2 linked regions of the Cricetulus griseus genome follow. The protein of the gene in region 1 purifies or fractionates together with the protein of each later gene. This does not show direct contact. Links are inferred from orthologs where the notes say so. Each region holds a gene or a part of one and is shown in the gene's direction. Other genes may lie near its edges.

Evidence for each region.
Region 2: the proteins of Ppp2r2b (region 1) and Iqgap1 purify together in Homo sapiens (co-immunoprecipitation; 3 studies listed by BioGRID and IntAct, with this or other methods). This does not show direct contact. The link is inferred for Cricetulus griseus from reciprocal best matches to the Homo sapiens genes PPP2R2B and IQGAP1.

The regions. Positions count from the first base shown.
Region 1 is NC_048595.1:195,204,051-195,207,611, forward strand, and holds part of Ppp2r2b (serine/threonine-protein phosphatase 2A 55 kDa regulatory subunit B beta isoform), read left to right. Parts: intron 1-49; coding exon 50-147; intron 148-3,143; coding exon 3,144-3,309; intron 3,310-3,561. UniProt on the Homo sapiens protein: The B regulatory subunit might modulate substrate selectivity and catalytic activity, and might also direct the localization of the catalytic enzyme to a particular subcellular compartment.
Region 2 is NC_048596.1:116,792,413-116,796,646, forward strand, and holds the start of Iqgap1 (ras GTPase-activating-like protein IQGAP1), read left to right. Parts: upstream 1-1,404; 5' UTR 1,405-1,516; coding exon 1,517-1,571; intron 1,572-4,064; coding exon 4,065-4,164; intron 4,165-4,234. UniProt on the Homo sapiens protein: Plays a crucial role in regulating the dynamics and assembly of the actin cytoskeleton.

The DNA.
Region 1 (3,561 bases):
AAAGTAAGTGTGCGCTTACTTAAATTGCTTTTGTCTTTTTTCTTTTCAGCTGACATTATCTCTACGGTAGAATTCAACCACACGGGAGAGTTACTAGCGACAGGGGACAAGGGGGGTCGGGTTGTAATATTTCAGCGAGAACAGGAGGTAAGTGTCAGCCAATTGGAAATTCTCATTTTCTTCCCTTTTTGAGAGGAGGCCTCCCACTGTGCCTTAATCCCCACGTGTCTGTCGCCCTTAACCTTGCCTGCCACTTTGCTCACCACATAAAACTGCCAAAAAGTCATTAGCATCCATAGCAGTTCTAAGTTCAAGCCCACAAAAGCACCTCAAAGAGGGTTCTCCCCTGGCAGAGCCTAATCCTTCTGTATGGTGAACACTGGGAAACAGCAGCTGTTCTCATCTGACCTGCAAAATTCCACAGGTGCCTGTGGAGGAGCAAACTCCAGCTGTTGTCTTGGGATCTATCCTGGTGTTGAAATTCAGGCTTCCTTCATTTCAGGTACTGCAGAATTCATATAGGAGAGGAAAATAGCTTCATTTGACAACGGTAGTAAAGAGGGCATGTTGGGTCAATAGAGAAGAAATTGATATTCAACCTGCCAAAGGGGTGAAATCCTCCAAAAGGGCTTCTTGGCCCCGCAGACACATGTTAGTGTGTGTCCTGGGAGCTGGGTGTGTTATATCATGCCCATGTCTATGGCTGGTTTCTTCCTGGGGCTTGGTTTCCACTAGAAACCATCTCTTTTCCACATAAATTGAGGATACTTCCCCTCCCAGGCCTGTTTCTGTTTTCTCGGAATGGAATCATGGCCCGATTTGGTTTCCTTGGCCTCTCCTGGCACACTGTAGCCCCTCCAGCAGGGTAGTCTGTATTCTAGCTACTCGCCCATCTGCCACTGTCTTCCTCTGAGATCCACTGGGCACTGGGGAGGTGTGGGGGAGGCCCAGTGTTAAGAGGAAGTCTCCACAAGAGACTTCCCAAGCAATTTAATGCCCGCTTTGTGCCTCCAAGCCATTTGCATTATACCTCCCCCTCAAAAGAGGAAAACCTCATTTAGGGGTGATATATTTGGTAATTGCACATTATTTGCAATTAATTTCTATAAGGGTTTCATAATCCCTCGGGGTTCTGTGTAAATTCAAGAGCTCGGCATTAAATCAGGCACCCAGCCTATTGCATTGGCCCCTGAAATATGAAAATGTAGTTGGCAAGTAAGAACTAAATCGCTCTTTGTGACCTGGAATTTTTCCTGCTTTTTCCAGGGCTGCCTGGTGCTAATTGGTCTGGCACATGGTATACACACTTGACAGTCTGATTTGGATGGTAGCAAATCAGCCCTCTTAGACATTTTTTGTTAAGGTGGACCGGTCCTCTGTGAGTAAGCAGGAGAGTGTCAAAGATGTCGGCATCTGAAGTCCTTTGAAAACTGATTTTCAAGTCTCCAATTTTAAAAAAAAAAATCCAATTAGGTTCACAGCTATGATTAAGGGGAACTGGAGGAGCTATTTAGCATAAATTACCCAAGGCTGCATGTTGCCAGTAATATTCCACCCCACATTTTCTGCTAGCTATATATAGGTTTCACCTATTTTCATTTACTGGGAGGTTTGGGAAGCCTGACTCAGTAGGAGAATGATGGGGGCACACCTTCCAAAGCAGTAGAGGTGGCTTCACTGGGACAGAAACATCAGTGAGGATGAGGATCAAGTAGTTCAGTGTTAGCTTCTCCAAAATTTGGGGCTCAGATGCCTACATGGCTTGCCTCACAAAAGTCATGTGATATCATTTGGGGCCAGTGACTCTTTAATAGTATTCTCACTCCCAGAAAAACTGCTCTGAAGGACCTCAGTCCTCAGTGTCTACCCACTCCAGTCTCAGCAGATGTAGCCACTTGTGGACAAACTGCAACATGCCTTCCAGTGTCCTGTGTCCATCTGAGACCCTAGAGTTTTAATTGAGCCTTTTCTTTAAAAAGTCAAACTTTGATTTAAAATATGTTTAGTGAAACCCAAATTTTAATTTTTGAACAAAATTTCAAAGCCAATTCTCACGACTTTGGGTAACATGGTTCTGAAATACCTGCAAATACAATCTTCCCTCTTCTCTCTTTTTATCTTTGTCTCTGCAAGAAGCTTTTTCTTCCTCTTCACCTTTTTCCATAACTTCAGGCCCTTGGCTTTGTGCTCCAGTGTCTCATCATTTATTTAGTTCCTGCTGTTTGCACTTTGCATAATTAGTGCCATGGGAAAGACATAGGTAAAGCCCATCATTCTCCTTGTGATACAGATGGCACTCATGTGCAGATGGCCCTTTCATCACTATACTGGATAAAAGTGGAGGTGGGAGGAACTGATGTCCAAGTCTGCTCATAAGTGCTATATGACCTTGGAAGAGTCACTTATGTCTCTGAGCCTCCAGGGTCTATCTCCCAGCTTCTCCTACATCTCAGAGTCCATGAGGATTGAAAGTTGCATTTGCTACAGCTTTTGCACCTTTCATAGGAATTGATATAATCATGTGTGAGCATCACCCTGGAATGGACCATTCAGCATTTCCTGAACTACACAAAGATTTGAATATTAGACCTTCTATTTGTATTGGCTTCAAAGTCTTGCCCTATTTTAACTTGTTTCTTTTCATTTTCTCTTTCTTCTCCTCCTCCTCCTTCTTTTTTTGACAGGGTTTCTCTGTATAGCCCTGGCTGCCTGGAACTCTCCTTGTAGGCCAGGCTGCCTTGAACTCATAGAGATCCACCTGCCTCTGCCTCCTGAGTGCTGGGATTAAAGATGTATGCCACCACACCATATATACATATATATTATATATATATATATATATATAATATATATATTATTTACACTTTGTGTTAATATAATTTAAATATATAATTTACGTGTGTGTGTGTGTGTGTGTGTGTGTGTGTGTGTGTGTGTGTGTGTGTGTGTGTGTTTCTAACCAACAGAGTGCATGCTTTGGGGACCAGTAAACTAAGCTGAATCTATGGCTGCAATGATCTTGGCCTCCCCACACTGTGATGTAGCCTGCCAGCCCACCCCTACTGGCTTCACTTAAAGGGAAAACAGAGTTGGCACTTGCTTTAAATGGTTTCATTTTCTGTGTGTGTTTTACCACCCTACAGAGTAAAAACCAGGTTCATCGTAGGGGTGAATACAATGTTTACAGCACATTCCAGAGCCATGAACCCGAGTTCGATTACCTGAAGAGCTTAGAGATAGAAGAAAAAATCAATAAGATAAGATGGCTCCCTCAGCAGAATGCAGCCTACTTTCTTCTGTCTACCAACGGTATGTGCAGGTTCTTTTTTTCTTTTTCCTGTTTGATATTTTCAGAGACTAGACCTCTAAGTCTCCCTTAGCCTCAATGTTCCTCCATCCCTTGTGGGCTTGTGAAAAACTTAGAAACCCTGTTTGTAAGATGCCTAGCAAAATTCAGAGTGCATACAGAGCTGGACTCAGTAAATAGTAGCTATTCTTTTTATAAACAGCGAATTTATGACCCAGTTTTTGTGGAACCTGTTATCTGCAGTTTCCTAATGT
Region 2 (4,234 bases), on another chromosome or scaffold:
CACGAATCACATACCTGGAACTACACAAAAGAAACTTCATTCTAACACAGGAAGACACCTGTCCCCTTGTCCCACATGACCTATTTATTAATCTACAGGTGTTTCTCTACTTGCCATTAAGTAATTGAAGGAATTAAAATCAAAATTAAAAATAGTTTTGTAGATTATTTTAAATGCTTGAAGGTACAGAATTAGCAAAAAAAAAAAAAAAACCACTCTGTTTTGTGTTTTGGAAAGAACAAAAGATGTTAGTCGGTAATTGTGACAATCTGGTTGGCAGAAGTGAGATTAGAGATGATGATAATCTAAACATGTCATCATAAACGAGGACAGAAACAAAAACTAGACGCTTCAGAAATAGAGGCAAGCCAAGAACCTGGGTGTGTGTGACTGAATACTTACAGAGAATGAGGCAGGAACAGGATCAATGGCTGACTGTGAAACTTTTAATGTCTGTGGGAGACAGCTGAAAGTGCGGATTAGATAGCTTGAAATTACCAAGGGGCTTCCAGATGGTGTGGGTTGTAAGTAGAGACCACCTGAGGTTTATGGTGAGCATAAGATTACTGGAGATGAGGCTTTTACTTATGATAATTATTAACTGGAGGCAGTATCTTACTCTGTTACGCAGGCTGGCCTCGAGCTCATGGTGATCCTTCTGCCTCAGCCTCCCAAGTGTGGGATGATTACAGGCTTGCGCCACCATGTTGGGCAAGCTACTGAGAAAAACCAGTAAGGGCTGAAGAGAGAATTCGGTCAAATACCGACACTTTGAAAGCACATCACAAGAGCAAGAAGAGGCATCCTTAACAGGGTCAAGATACCCCTTAAGAGCGTGCGTGCAAAGAGCATGCAGTGTAAAGTTAATCTGATCAACAGCTCTCCTGCTTCAGCATCTTTGTCCCCCAAATTTAAGAGACTTAGCGATACCGCTGGAGAAAACGGAGCCCGGATAGACAAAAATGTGGCAGAGAGTAGGGGTGACAGTCTTTCCTGTCAGTTTGGGTCCTATTTGCGTCCAACAAGAGCACCCTGGGCCACCTGAAAGGGCTCCTTCAATGAGCCGCGGTGCAGAGGGAGTTAACTCAGCTGTCAGAGGAAGGTAGGCACGCGGCCGAACAAGTTTGGATTTCAAATTGGATTTCAAACTGCGGACACTGGCGGCCTTTCAGTCTGAGCAGCGGATAGGACGACAGCAAAGGAGTGCAGAGGCAACGGGCCAAGCTTGCCTACTGCGCCCCGCCTCCTCGCTTCCGCAACTGGAGGGCGAAGCGGGCAGGGGCGGATCCTGCAAAAGGGACCACGCCCTTCCGCCCGCTCGGGGGAGCCCGACTGGGCGGGGTCTGCGGGGCGGGGCCTGCAGGGTGGGGCCGATGGCGCGGGGTGGGGCTGATGGCGCGGGGCGGGGCCTCGGGGACCGCGACAGCCCGCGCACAGGGCAGGAGTTGCCGCTGCTACTGCCGTCCGCGTCTTCAAGGTCTCAGCGCTTCCTCACCGGAGAACGGACTCCGCCGCCATGTCCGCCGCGGAGGAGGTTGATGGGCTGGGTGTGGTCCGGCCGCACTATGGCTGTGAGTACCGGGGGCTTGGGGTGCGTGGGCGACGGGCTAGGCTCGGGTTTTCCCGGGGGCTCAGCCGGGCGGGTGCGCGGAGTGGCCTGGGACTGCACGGACCCGGAAGAGCAGCCCAGCTGTGTGGTGGCTAGCAGCAAGGTTGGCGCCCGAGCCCTCTAGAGCTCCGGAGGTGGCGGGTAGGAACCTGCAGGCCTCAGCCTTCGCCAGGAGCTGCGGCAGGGGAGCCCCACCCAGCGCCTCCGCCGCTTAGCTCTACTGAGATTGGGGAAGACGGCCTGGGGTGAGGTGGCAGGAGGACTGTGCAGGGCGTGTCCTGGGCACTGGACCCGGGGGTGGTGTGCTGCCCCGATTGCTGCCTGCGAGGGTGAACCAAGGTGTAGACCCGCGTGGCCAGACTAGCTGCGAGGTGCAGTTTTGGGCAAGCCACTTAAACTTCCTCGGGCTGGGTTCTCTAATCAGCATTTCAAAGGTAAAATTAAAAAAACACACACAGACCCAAATAATCACCCCCCCCACTTCCTCATTTTCCGTGGTCATCAGTGAACTAACCAACTGTACGTGGGATAGTTGTTACGAGAGGATCCCTTTGGGCAGGTTCAGATTTTGTTTGATGTTCTGGGAAAAGTGCATTCTTAAGGGTTACTTTAACGTATCCATAGTTATGTGTGAGATAGTGTGCCATGCTTGTGAAATTAGAGATGAATAAGACCATGTAATGCCTTCAAAAACTGTCGGAGACAGGTGTACAAAAGATTGATAATGAGATGAAGGGTTGGGAATTCAATCTAGTGGTAGGGCGCTTGCCTACCAAGTGCAAGGCCTTGGGTTGGGTCCTTAGCTCCAGGGCAGAAAGGTAATACGGGGCAATAAAGATACATGATGCATGAACTAACTAGGTATAAAGAGTAATGGTGGTGAAGAGAGGGACTTAGGGAGGCCATGGGAACACAGACTGGAAAGATGCTGTGTAGGGCATGACATGACTTTGAGAGGCAGACTAAACTAAATATGGTATTGAAGACTACAGGGATAGTCCGTGTGTGGAAGAATCAGAATGGGGTGGTGTGGAGTGGTGGGAATGGAAGGGAAAGAAGGGGAAGAGCTAGAATGGCTTTGATTGCTTTTCTAGGGGGTTAGGAATTCATTTCACACCTTGGGGTGCTTATGGAGGAGGCAGATTGCTTCAAGGTTTAGCCCACAGGCCCTGGAGACAGGTGGATTTGAATGTAGGTCCCTTTATTAGCCCTGAGGCTGAGTTCATGGGGCTTCAATTTCCTCCTCTGTCAAATAGTGGTAACCACAGGATTGTTCTGGGCTGTAGTGAGAGAATGTATGTAAAATGTTTAGTCTCATAGCTGCCCACTTTAGCTCAGAATAAAGAGGGGCGAGAGAGTATGATACCCTTTATTTTAGTTCTGACCAATAAGGACAGACCTTAGTTGGCACCTTCTGAGGCTACAAGAAAATGTAGTAATATACATTTAAAACATTTAAAAATTTGATTCCTTGAGATTTCCATACATATAAAAAAGTAAAATATGATTATACCTATCTCCCATCTCTCCCCTTCAATAATTTATCTGAGACAGGATCTCACTGTATAACTGTAGGTGGCCTAAATTTGTTGCTTAAGACAGTCTGACTTTGGACTCAAGAGATCTGCCTGCCTCTGCCTCCCAAGTGCTGGGATTTCAGGCTTGTGCTGCCACTCCTGGCTCTTTTTCTTTTTTAATTTTTTTTTATGTGTATGGGTGATTTGTTGTCTACGTGTATGATGTCTGTATACCAAGTATGTACCTGATGCCTGCAGATCCCAGAAGAAAATGTCTGATCCCCTGGAACTCCAGTTATAACCTGTTGTAAGCCTTCATGTAGATGTGGGGAATTGAACCCAGGTCCTTTGCAAGAGCAGCCAATCCTCTTAACTGAGGCTGAGCCATCTCTTAAGCCTTTAAAAAAATAATGATAGAAAACCCCCAACTAGGTCCAATTAGTGATGCTCCTATATGTGTGGGTATCGGATTGTCCACTGGAGCTTGGGCAGCTTACCAGTGACCACCTTCCCATATCACACATAATTTTGCATGTATGTATGGTGTCCTTGGAGGTCAGAAACAGGGCATTGGATCCCCTTGAATTAGAATTACAGATGCTTGTGAGCAGCCATGTGGGTGCTAGGAACCCAGGTCTTCAAGAGCAACGAGTGCTCTTAACTGCTGAATCATCTCTGCAGCCCTTTGCCATATATACATATATACATACACACACACACACACACACACACACACACACACGCACGCACGCACACAGGGTATATGAGTATAGTTGAAACCATATGGGTTTGTTTTTAGGAAAGTCATTTGTAGTACACCTGGCTACCCACATATCCACTAGTTAGCCTGCTTTTCTAGGTGACAGGCAGCAATTTGGTGGCTATGGCTGAGGAAAGGTACAGGTCTTGGCCTTTATGCTCTTTCCTTCTCATCTTAGCTGTGCTGGACAATGAGAGGCTCACTGCAGAGGAGATGGATGAAAGGAGACGGCAGAACGTGGCTTACGAGTATCTTTGTCATCTGGAAGAAGCAAAGAGGTAAAGGTGGACTAATGAAGGGAACTGATACGGTTTTTAAGATTTGTTTTTATTTATGTGTTTGTTTTGG